Linked DNA regions of Xenopus tropicalis. Each later gene encodes a partner of the first gene's protein in a complex. Links are inferred from orthologs where the notes say so. Each region holds a gene or a part of one and is shown on either strand. Other genes may lie near its edges. The genes, in order: rab8a, rab3il1 and rab3ip.

The links.
Region 2: the proteins of rab8a (region 1) and rab3il1 are in contact, whole or in part, in a crystal structure (PDB 4LI0), measured with the Homo sapiens proteins. The link is inferred for Xenopus tropicalis from reciprocal best matches to the Homo sapiens genes RAB8A and RAB3IL1. Residues at the interface, in NP_005361.2 of Homo sapiens: Lys10, Phe33, Ser35, Phe37, Ile43, Asp44, Phe45, Lys46, Ile47, Gln60, Trp62, Thr72, Ile73, Thr75, Ala76, Tyr77, Arg79; in NP_037533.2 of Homo sapiens: Arg104, Glu108, Leu111, Glu112, Thr115, Ala116, Phe119, Glu120, Ala122, His123, Arg127.
Region 3: the proteins of rab8a (region 1) and rab3ip are in contact, whole or in part, in a crystal structure (PDB 4LHX), measured with the Homo sapiens proteins. The link is inferred for Xenopus tropicalis from reciprocal best matches to the Homo sapiens genes RAB8A and RAB3IP. Residues at the interface, in NP_005361.2 of Homo sapiens: Lys10, Phe33, Ser35, Thr36, Phe37, Ile43, Asp44, Phe45, Lys46, Ile47, Trp62, Ile73, Ala76, Tyr77, Arg79, Gly80; in NP_783322.1 of Homo sapiens: Ser199, Arg202, Asp203, Gly206, Leu209, Glu210, Thr213, Ala214, Phe217, Glu218, Ala220, His221, Val224, Asn228.

What each region holds. Positions count from the first base shown.
Region 1 is NC_030677.2:104,417,746-104,421,858, reverse strand, and holds the start of rab8a (ras-related protein Rab-8A), read right to left. Parts: upstream 2,949-4,113; 5' UTR 2,794-2,948; coding exon 2,670-2,793; intron 1-2,669. UniProt on the Homo sapiens protein: The small GTPases Rab are key regulators of intracellular membrane trafficking, from the formation of transport vesicles to their fusion with membranes.
Region 2 is NC_030680.2:22,474,163-22,478,302, reverse strand, and holds the start of rab3il1 (guanine nucleotide exchange factor for Rab-3A), read right to left. Parts: upstream 2,880-4,140; 5' UTR 2,601-2,879; coding exon 2,587-2,600; intron 1,670-2,586; coding exon 1,456-1,669; intron 1-1,455. UniProt on the Homo sapiens protein: Guanine nucleotide exchange factor (GEF) which may activate RAB3A, a GTPase that regulates synaptic vesicle exocytosis. Promotes the exchange of GDP to GTP, converting inactive GDP-bound Rab proteins into their active GTP-bound form.
Region 3 is NC_030679.2:59,188,226-59,191,877, reverse strand, and holds part of rab3ip (rab-3A-interacting protein), read right to left. Parts: intron 3,404-3,652; coding exon 3,200-3,403; intron 1,491-3,199; coding exon 1,362-1,490; intron 693-1,361; coding exon 580-692; intron 1-579. UniProt on the Homo sapiens protein: Guanine nucleotide exchange factor (GEF) which may activate RAB8A and RAB8B. Promotes the exchange of GDP to GTP, converting inactive GDP-bound Rab proteins into their active GTP-bound form.

The DNA.
Region 1 (4,113 bases):
CAAATCATACTGATATGATCGAGTTTAAGATCAGATCTCATGATGGGATATGCTGGGAAAGGATGGCCAGTTGTAGTGCTTGCCTGATGGGATTTCCCAGGCTTCCCAATGAGGTTTTATTCAAGAGGCAAGTGTTTTAGCCTCATTTAAGCACCAACAGGCTGCCAGCTGGGTCTGTTACAGCAATATGATTTCACCTTAGTGCTTTTCCAGATGTTTCCTAGGGAAAATAAATTGAATACTACAGTGTTGTAATTAAATATCATTTGGAAATGTTTTTTTCACTCTAATATGAAAAAGTATCATCCCCATCTAAAAAAGTCAGGGAGGAAATATTTGCTTTCATTTGTTACTTCAGTAGCATTTTTGAAACATATAATATGATTCTAGGGTTAACATTATACAGGCAGTTCATTATGTCAACACCTTCATTACTTTAGAGATTCCCAAATACAATAGTGCACCTTTCACTGAGCCTTTGTCACCTGATACATATAGTGCTCATGCAGGAAAAGAAATAAAAAAAAAAAAAAAGCTCTCTCTCAGAATGTTGGCTGTTTTACAACTCCACTAATTACAATCCCCATTTCATTACAGATAATGAAGTCGGCTATCATCATTAAAGAATCAAGTAGGAATGTGTGACAAACTGCCACGTCTCTGTTAAGCAGGTGCCAGTCTAGTTTCTCTCTTAGACCAAAGGGTTGCCGTTTCTGATGTAGCACACTTTCTTTAACACCTCAAAGCACTGTTTCCGCTATTGAAGTGTTCATGTTAGAGAAAAATACTGGGGTTTCTGTGAAGTATGATTTTTTGGAACAAGCATGTCTGAATTTCAAAACTGCTTTTAGGGATCACCCTGGGCGATACCGGTTATCATTCTAAATGTAATATAAGCAGCTTTAATAAGTAGAGATTACTTTTAATCTATTATAGTAAATAGGTAAAAATGTATTTTTGGATTAGGCTGATTCCTGTACCTTTCATGAAGAATTCGGCCGAATCCTGAACCAAAAGCAAACCCTAATTTGTCTAAAAGGAACCATGCATGCAGCATGAGGAAAAAATGTACTAGTTTCCTTACGTGTGTGACCAAAAGTCATGTGATTTTAAGGGTTCCAATTTTGTTCAGCCGGGCACTTGGATTCGGCTGAATCCAGATCCTTCGGAAAAAAACTTCAGCTGAATTCCAAACTGAATCCAGGGTTTAGGGTATCCCTTACATTAAACTATAAGGCCATATATCTAACACAGAAAATATTAAGTATTTTTGTTTTACTGTATGGGACCTGTTATCCAAAATGCCCGAGATCTGGTATTTTCTGAAAAAGGGATCTTTTTGAAATTTGGATCACCATACCTTAAGTCTACTAAAAATAATTTAGACATTAAATAAACCCAATTGTTCTGCCTCCATTAAAGGTTTAATTATACCTTAGTCGGGATCAAGTACAAAACACTGTTTTATTATTACAGTGAAAATAAAAACACTTTAAAAATGTGTTGAATTATTTGATTAAAATGTAGTCTATGAGAGAGAGCCATCTCATAATTTGGCGCTCTCTGGATAAGGGATTCCATACCTGTATATTAATGAGGGCTGCAATTGCATATTGCATTATCTCAAACACTGTCACAGGACAGCAGAACAGAACCATTTATGATCACCTTAATTGATACCTATGGATGTTGCATTAGTTAGGCAAAGTTGTATGCAGTTCCCACTAAAGATGTGACAAACTGGACCAATATATGGAGAGGGGATTTTTGTTTTTTGCTCAGAATAAAGTAGCTGCTATTTAAGAGAAACTAATTAAAAAATAATCTAAGCCCATTTGTTTTTTTTTTTTTTAATCAAATTCCCCTTTAAGTAAAAACATAAAAAATGAATATGCTATGTATTGTTGCCAGTTATCCCTTTGCATTAATGTAGGCATATAAAGCAAGTTTACATACTAACACCCATAAGAATAGAAGAAATGCCCTTTTCATTCAAAGTCTCACCTTTATTACACAGCCCGTCACTGAGTACAAAGGTTCATCAGAAGAGATGATATCACTGTAGTCTCTACAATAGCTATAACTACCTGGAATAGATCCCTCAACTAATCAGGTGCTACACTACCAGGATCATAACCAGTGATAAAATAAAAATATAGGTCTGCTGTTGATGACACAGGACTGACATCTCTAAAGTTCTACTCTATAAGGGACCAGAGGAGGCATACATGCGTTTCTTGTGTTACAAATGACAAGCTATAGCTCTTAATGTGTGTGTATTCATTGAGATGTTCTCCCTTCTGCCCATGTATATACACTAGCGCTTTATAAACCCCATAGGAACTGCTGGAAAATGTTCATCATATTCTTTATACATACATCAGCACTACAGATTTTTATCTCAGGTAAAAACAAATAATGTAACTCTATTGGAATTATATTACTGTATACTGACACGTACAGTTATAAAACAAGAAAGATATGCTGAATGTTCAATACTATATGCTACAAAGACAGACAATAGAAGAATGCCTCCCTTGGTATTAATGTATATTCAGACCGGCATACCCATACTTAGTACGTATACCCACAAAAAAAACCCCAGCACTCATCCCCTGTTCCATCCCCTTCTCCCACCAGTTGCTCCCCACCCGACAACTCAGACTCACCTATAGTGGATATAAAGGTTGAATTGAAGGCATCTTCTGAAAACCTAAATAATACACACGTCTTCCCGACCCCAGAATCGCCGATAAGTAGCAGTTTAAACAAATAATCGTAAGTCTTCGCCATATTAAAAACTACTATACAGGAAATACCAGAAGCTGCGAACAATTGGCCACGGGCAGCGTCAATCTATGTGAAAGCGAAGATCAATTGGCTAGTGACGCCCTGTCGTCACCGCAACCCGCCCATCCCAGGAGACCCCCCGCCGCCGAACCCAAGCGTAAAGTTTATCAGGCAAAGCTGCCGAGTCAAACTGAGAGACGTTAGCTGGTTGGTGGAAGTAATGTCAGAGCGGGTGCTCGTGATTGGTTAGTTTTCTGGGCCGGTTAATACATTGCCAGGTCGGAAATTATTTTCTGTGTTTAACTTCCTTTGTCTGGTAAGAAATAGCACTGAATCTGGAATGCAGTTTTATTTTTTGTATTAACTTATATTCCTATTATTTTATTTTTCCCCATCTGAGTAATGTGTTTCTGTGTATATAAGTAGCACTATGTGCCTACATACACAAATATTATCGGTACGACCAAGTATGATTCGATGCTTATGCTTTACAAACAGACGTGTTTGTGTTGCCGCTGCTAGTGAATCAGCCCTGCTTGTTATTTTTTTTTTGTGCGTTGAAATAAAAAATATCAGAGAACAAGGTTTCAGCATAGGATTATTTTCAGTCAGTAACCAGGAGAATTTGTCAAGAATCTGAATTCTTTTGCAAGGCACCGTATTTTAGTCTCATATTTAATAGTATGTCTCTTTTTTTGTTTTATTTTGCCTTTATATTTGTATTTTATGTTACCCAGAACATTATTGGCTGCCAGTTACAGAGCTTGTTGCAGATAGCGGCTGCGTACATTCTTTAGACCTGCTTGTCTGCTCATGTCATTGGCCCAATTTCCTGGAACAATGAAAATCAATATACAATACTCTACATACTATCACTCTACATATCTTATGTACTTTATTGATAACATATGGAATTACATACCCTCTATTGTTATTATTATTATGAAGATATTATAAGGCAACAAGAAGTCCTGTGATGTGATGTAAAGGCAGGAGGCTGGAGGCTGAATGCTTTAAACAAGTCATGGAACTTCAAGGTGACTTCTGAAAATATCATTTTTATGCATACAGTAAATCGTTACATAAATTATAACCCAATTTCCAAAAACATTGGGACACTGCATAAAATATAAAAAAAACAATGCTATGATTTTCATTAATAGGTTTGCTTTTGTAAGTAACTGTTACTTGAAGTTCTAACCCTGACTCCCTTCTAACCCTGTAAGTTATAGTTTCTAATGCTGCTGCACAAATATGGCTGCACCCTCATAAAGGGACATGAGGGATCAGATAGGTAATAAAAAAGCACCAGAAAGTATTTTA
Region 2 (4,140 bases), on another chromosome or scaffold:
TAATGACACACGTAGCGTATTCTCGGCAAGCCAAAAAACGCTTGCTGAGAATACGCTAAATATGCTTCAAAATGCCCCAACATGTGCCTGCCCCCCGATAGCATTGAATATGCTTGGCTGCAGGCACAAGAAGCCGATATTAATGTGGAATCAATATGTGGCTGTTAAAGGGGTGAGGTGGCAACCCTACCGGTATTAAAAGTGTGAGCAATCCTAGTTGTGTGTCTCCCTGAGACTTTCAACATTAGAATTTGACTCATTAGTACAAAAGGTTGAGGAGCTCTGGCCTGAGAGATCCATAGGGCCTGATTCACTAAAGGGCGATAAAACGTGCGCTATTCTTATTGTGCGCTAAAATTTTTACCGCCACTTAATTTTGGCGATTTTTCGCACAATTCACTATAAGCATACTCGCGCTTTTTTACGCGCGATATTGCAAGCGTTATTTAACTCGCGAAAGACTATTTCAATGCGGTATTTGCCTGTACATGCGCTAAATTATGCGAATAATCGCCGAATATGAATGGTAGCATAGAAATAGTGTATAAAAATTGTCGAAGCATATAAATGGTGTATATAAATATTAGCCACATATAAATAGTAGATGCTTATAAATAGTAGCCACTAGTGATGAGCAAATGTGTTCTGGTTTCTTTAGTGAAAAATTAGCAAATCTTTCGAAAGATCCCCGAAACGGCAAAAATGTTGTGCGGGCAAAAAAATTGTTGCCCGTGACTATTATTTTTTGACACTTGTATCAATTTTTGGATGTGCGGTGAATTTTTGCGTGGCAAATTTTTTCATGCGTTTTGCCATTGGCGGATTGTTTTGCGAAACGCATGAAAAAAATTCGCTGCGAATCCATGCCTGGCGAAACATTTCATCACTTGTAGCCAAATAGAAATAGTTGCGCAAATGAACGCACGCCATGTTAGCCATACACGCCAATACTTGCAGAAAATTACTGTATTAAAAATGAACATTTCGCTGCAAACTGGCGGCTGCGTCATTCTGGGGGAAACACAGACTGAATAAATAACACTGTAAGTCCATATTTTATTGCAAAAAATAATTTACTGTACTTTTGTATAATTTTTCGCCTGCCTGTAGTAGGTGTTAATTTTCGTATAGCCGAATGCGATATTTAGCGCGCAAAAGTTATAGTGAATCATGCGATCGTATTCTTTTCAGCGCGGAAATTAACGCAAAACAGTAAAACTAGTGCGAGAAATACCCCATGCGAAAATGGCGATTTTTCGCACGCGATAATACTATGGTGAATCGCGCGCAAGTTATTTTGCGTTTTTTAACACGAAAAAGCGTGCAATAATTTTTATCGCCCTTTAGTGAATCAGGCCCATAGACTCTTAAAGAGCATTATTTAAAAAAATACATTAGTTTGAGAAAAAAAATAATTCAAGATTGCTGCTACATAAGTGTAATGAACAGGGTCACCTTCTGGGCTCTCAGCAACTCCTCTCTCAAGATCTCAGAGCCCTTCTCTCTAATTTCTACCGAGGAACTGCGCAGGCGGGAGAGGTCATACTGCGTGATTTCCCCAGCATGCTCAGCGTAAGCTTTAGAGGACTCGGCTTTGGGAGGGGTACTCCACTCTTCAATGGCAGGGGAACAGCGCAGCTCCGGGACACCATCCAGGATAGGGGCCTCCCTGTGGGAAGAGCAAGAGCATGTCACTGATTGAAGAAAGCGCTTAATAAATGTCAGACTGTTCTATTAATAATGCACCTGATGGACAACAGGCCTGGAAAATAGAGGTTTAGGCAGAAATGACTGAACAACAAGGTAGCCCAAAGTAATTATATGCCCTTTGATTGGGCTGAATTGCGCCTTCTGAACTCTTCACAACAGCATCCAGTCCTGATGTTGCTGGACTACAGTTCCCAGTATGCTTCAAACCCTTATACATGGCTGGAGAATGCTGGGAATTGTAGTCCAACAACATTTGGGTGCAGCAACACTGTTATGAAATGGTTTAAATAAGCTGATGTAAAATTAACATGGCAGTTACTGATGCTGGTGGGATGCCTAGTTTTTGCAGGATGGGCAGATGTTGGGACCCAGCACTCCCAGAGGGGGTCATAAAGCAAGTCGGGGGGGGGGGGGTGCTGCCCTTGTAAAGATCTTGCACTTTAACATGATGTTGGACCCTTATAAAGAGAAGCGTAGCATCTCTCTCAGTAATGGAGCACAGCTGTCTCTTAATGCAAAGCAGAGAGCTGCCTCTTTCTGTGGAATAACCGGCTCCTTGAAAAGTGCCCCATAAGCAAACCCTTGGGGCCAGTGTTAGGGTGGGCCACCTTTGCCCCCTGCCATGTCTGGACTGAGAGTCAAAATAGGAACTGGCATTAAGTACAGAAAGGCCCAAACAGCCCCACACAGGCCCAATATAAAGCAAGAGTCTATGCCAGTTTACAGCAGCCCCTGTGGTATTTGCTAGACTTTCCACATTGGCAAACCTGCCACACAGAGCTGTCACCCCCCACAAACTGAGCAGTGTAATAAGGATCAAGATTCTCCCACTAACAGCACACAGGTTCCACTGAATAAAACAAGCTTTTTCCTTACCCTGCTCCCCACATCCTACCAGATGTCACTCTCTCCTCCAGGCTGCCTCAGGTTGGGGGGGAACATCCAGGAAGCATCCAAGATGGGACAGGGGGACCCGGCGGAGGCACAGAAGTGGTGGCAGATGCAGCAGAAGAGCCCACAGAAGGATGGAGGGCCACCAAGCCTGTGAGGCTGATGTTAGAGCACAGAGTTTTCCTGCATCCCACACAACTATGTGCCGCTCTCTCTCACTACTCCTCCTTGTCACTTCCTCCCTCCCCCCTCACTCTGCGGCACTCACAGAGGAAACACTTCCAGCTGCAGGCAGAGAGACAGAGAGCAGGCAGGGGGAGGGCAGCAGGAAGAGACAGTGGCTCCACAGGATAGCAGCCAGGGTGGCAGGTTTAAATCAACTTAAACAGTAGGCTCATGGACTGGCACTAGATATCTGGGCATCCCTGCACTCCGTGTCACTGTATATATATCACTCAGTGTCAGCTTTCCAATGTGACTTTGTTTTATATCACTGTGCTTCCAATGTCTTCCGATCCCTATTGGGGGCCTCGGTCCCAACGGGGATGGAAAAACTTGGATGCACAGTGATATAAAATGAAGTAAAATTGGCCAGATATTGCTCTCAGATGCAATGATATAAGATAAAGTCATATTTTAATGAAAAAAATATATATGCACAATAATATAAATATATATATATATATGCACATAATCCAGAATATACAATACACTATCTATTGATCTATCTATCTATCATCTATCTATCTATCTATCTATCATATATCTATCTACTGTATCTATCTATCTATCTATCTATCTATCTATCTATCTATCATCTATCTATCATCTATCACATCTGTGCAGAATTAGCTTTGTACATACCCATACTGTATTACATAGGGAATATGTGACTCAATGAATCTATTTTGTCATCAATGAAGTAAAACATATATTAGGTATTACATGCCCATGAAAAAGCCTATAGTGCTATAACGCACTTAATCATAGGCTATGATCTGTGGATCTATCCATCTATATCTATCTATCCATCCCCAGAGTCACATATTCCCTATGTAATACAGTATAGAGGATGTACAAATCTTATTCTGCACAGATGTTCTATCATTAAAGCAGTGTCCATATCCCTCTCCCCCTCCCTTCTTCACACATGGCCAGGATCATATGACCTCCATCTGTTTCTCATTGCAAGAGTGTCCACCCTCATACAGGTCATGTGACTGTCATGTGATGCACCCCATGGGCGTATTGTTGTTTTTTTCAATGAATTGAATGTTCCTAAATTCACTTGTGCGAGAGTGAAAGAGGAAAGGGAAATCTCAACTTGGATAGCTAAATATACAGGCAGGGGGCTGTCATTACGGATACACAATTGTTTAAAGGGGAACTATACCCTGTTTAGAAATAAAATGTAATTGTATTTTAATTTCTAGTAAAACACAGAAATTATTCAGCAAAATGAGCCTTTTTAGGTTTATGGATGGAGGCTGCAATCCTGAAATGCAGAATAAACACACATAGGCTTAAAATTAAACATAT
Region 3 (3,652 bases), on another chromosome or scaffold:
TGTGTGTGCCATACTCTCCCTGCCCTATGCTGCCTATGTGCCATACTCTGCCTACCCCATGCTGCCTACACACAGGTGTGAACAGGAGAACAATATGGGTGATTACAGCCCGAGCCTGAGGTGTGAAGAATGCAGGGGGTAAACAATGCAGAGATTAAAAGGTGTGAACAGTACAGGGAATTACATTTTTAAACAATACAGGGGGATTACAGCCTGAATCTGAGGTGAGAACCATGCAAGGGGCCAGTTAAACTCAGTAGTGATACAATTTAAAGCTTACACAAAGTTAAGCCATCAAATCAGCCAGACAGGTGGGGGCCACACAGAGGGGGGTCGCAGGCCGGGCTGCCAGTTGGACAGCACTCCTTTAAGGGATTGATAGTATGCATTACAACTTATTATAACCAGTGAAAACGCCTTAATAGGCCTCAAGCACACTGTTCAATATTTTTTATATATATATATATATATATATATATATATATTTTTTTTTTTTTTTTTTTAGTCATTGTAGTCAAAACTATATAAGCAGCAATGACCTCAGTCACTAAATTCTTTACATACATGTGGTTTACTTACTTTGATCCTCCACATTCAACAGCTGATGCTTTAACAAACCGCACAGGTTGCTGACCAGCAGGCTCAATGCTTAAGGTGTTGTTTTCTACAGCTTCAAGAACAGCTGCAGCTAGCTAAGAAAATTAATTATAAAACAAAATATGAGATATACGCGCATTTTACTGTGCATGTACATACATTTTGTAATCTATGACAAACTGTGTTATGCCCAAAAACCACAGCTAATATCAGCTTTATTTTTATTCAGTATAATGAATCCCCTTTACATCTCCCTAATGTTCTTACAGTCCCAGTGCTAGTTCTTTCAGTTCTCCCTTTACAAGTTTGGGGGATGCCTCACAAGTCCTGCCAGGCTTGAGTAACATCTATATTTCTTCTACAATGTTTCACAGTTGCGCAACATTAGCACAGGGTTATCACAGTGGCGTAACTAAAGAGAAGGGGCTAGGTCTGCTTCCTCTATACTGGGAGAGCCCTTAACAAACACAATAGAAAAAAAAATTGGAATTATTTCTTAGGGTGACATATCCCCTTTAAAGAGATAAACAGACAGAGACTCTGTATAAACAAGCCCCTCCCCACCTGGAGTTTGTGTCCCAGGGTTGCGCATAAGGAAGAGTTTTTACATCTCCCTCTCCTTTACTACATAAAGCAATAGAGGGAAAAGTTGAGGGAGATTAGGGAACACTTAATTAATGCTACCTCCACTGCAAATACAATAAAATAATATAAACTATATCTGTATTATTCCTACTAAGCACATGAAAAATAAGAACATTTACCTCACTTTTAGGGAATGTTAAACAAGGGCAGATATCCTCCTGATATATTCTGTGCAAAAATGGGCATGCCCTATCCATGGAAGGCTCTTCTTTCCAAGTTCTGAATTCATAGTAAAGGGATAAATCAGGCTATAAAAAGAGAAATACCTTTTAGAATATGTTTTTGTTAATGAGAAAGTAATATGTCTTTATAAATGAACATGCAAAGCTACCCTGCAACCAGAATCATTATGACCAAATGCAATGGTTTGCTGCAAAGAAAATTTACTGACCAACACTCTGAAATACTGCTCACAAGCAGGCAGCCTAATTATGATTCCACATAGCAGCAAGTGTAATTTTAAGAAATAGACCATTGCATTGAATATAGGAATATTGTTTCATAGGATCTTTATAAAATGTGCATTATGAACAACAGTTTGTGCCAAGAAAAATATAATGTTACTAATTAAGAGATATGAGTTTCTTATTATGTGCAGTCAGACATCTCTGTTCATTATGCATGCATACTCTAGTACCAAAAAACCATAATATCAGTGCTTGAGGCAGCTGGTACCCAGCTTTTTCACCAAGACTTCCCCAACATATACAACAGAGTGTCATGACTGCACATGCTTTACAAAGGAGAAACACACTACCCAAGCCATTATTGCTTTTTCGTGTCTTCAAGACTGGTTTTCCTGCTAAGAGAAAAATTATTGTGACACTCACACATAGGTTTAAAGATTCATCAATCTCCAGTGGCTGAGACACAGTCACTCTGAGCAACAGTTGCACCCCAATCAACAAAACACTAATTGAGCTGATAAAATTAAATTAGGACATGACGTGCCAAGCAGCCCTATAATCATCAGGACCAGCTCCTGAGGGCGGAGACACACAAGGCAATTCATTTTCAAACTTAAAAAGTTGGTTGCGGCAACTTTACCACCATAGGGGTTTTATAAAAGTTGCTGCGACTAATCACGCCACAACTTTTTAAAAAGTCATGGCTACTACAAAGCCACTAGTAGCAGCTACTTGTCACGGCTACAAATATGGACAATGCTGTTATAATTGTCTCTACGTGTTTTTTAACAGAGGCAATTTTCAGTATTGTCTATGGCAGGGTATTTTCTGGGTTGAGCAGCAGTGACAAGTAGCTGCTACACCCTTAAATGACTCATCTAGTGCTTACAATCTATTTAGTGTAACATTAATACTATGATCTGGACCCTAAACCCACTAAAGCTGCCATTGATCTCAATACAACAAGACAATTCAAAATTAACTCTACTTTAGTATAAAAAAAACACAATCAAAAGCAAATATGGTCCATACATGCAGGCATGAGAACTGGAAACAAGACAACTAAACATACAAACCTAAAATATATCCAGCACCTCCTTGTGGTTTTATGAGGACTGGTCATTGGTTCCTCAGGTCATTCCACAGTTTCCCATTGGACATTGTTTAAGCAAAGGTGTAGTAAGTATATATTACCATGAATTTAACTCCTTTTGTTGCTTAGTTTTCCTTGGTTAGCAGTTAAAATCAATGTTTGTATATATCTATAAGCTTGCTTTGAGCTAAGGGGATCCAGTGAGAAGGCTAATCAGGATGGGATTTGCTTCCCTGGATTGAGATGTTTTCTAACAATTTTTTTAAAACACTGCAAAACTATTTTTTCATTTCAAAGAAGAACTGGAAAAAATCCCACTGCACAGGAAAGTCTAACTTTCGTACATATTTTGTACAAATTGCAATTTGCATGAAGAGTGGAATTTTTTGTTTTTTACACTTACATGTGCACAAACAATACACCAAATAAACATTTCAAATTCCAACCTTTAAATTACCTCTTTCAGTTCCATGACAATTGGTGGCAGTACACTGAGGTCTAGTGTTCCTCCACCCATAGCACTGCTTGTGCTTTTGTTCCTGACATGGCCCTTCCTAAAGGGTGCCTTTCCAGCTGGCTGTAGTTCTTTTGTGGGAGAAGTTGGTGAGGTTGAGAGAACTAGTGTTTTCAAAGCTGCTACCTCTGCCTGCAGTACATCAATCTAAAAGAAATAAATATTAAAAACTATAGTTTAGCTCAACAACCTAAATAACAAGCAAATAAAACAAAATTCTATAAAATGTTCATAAATACCTCTAAACTAAAACCTGGGTTAATAATACATTACAGTTTCTTATAATATAGATTGTAAGCTCTACGGGGAAGGGACCTCCATCCTCTTGTGTCTTTGACTCTTAACTTATTGCAACTGTATCTTGTATTTATTTGTATTTATTGTTATACCTTGTAT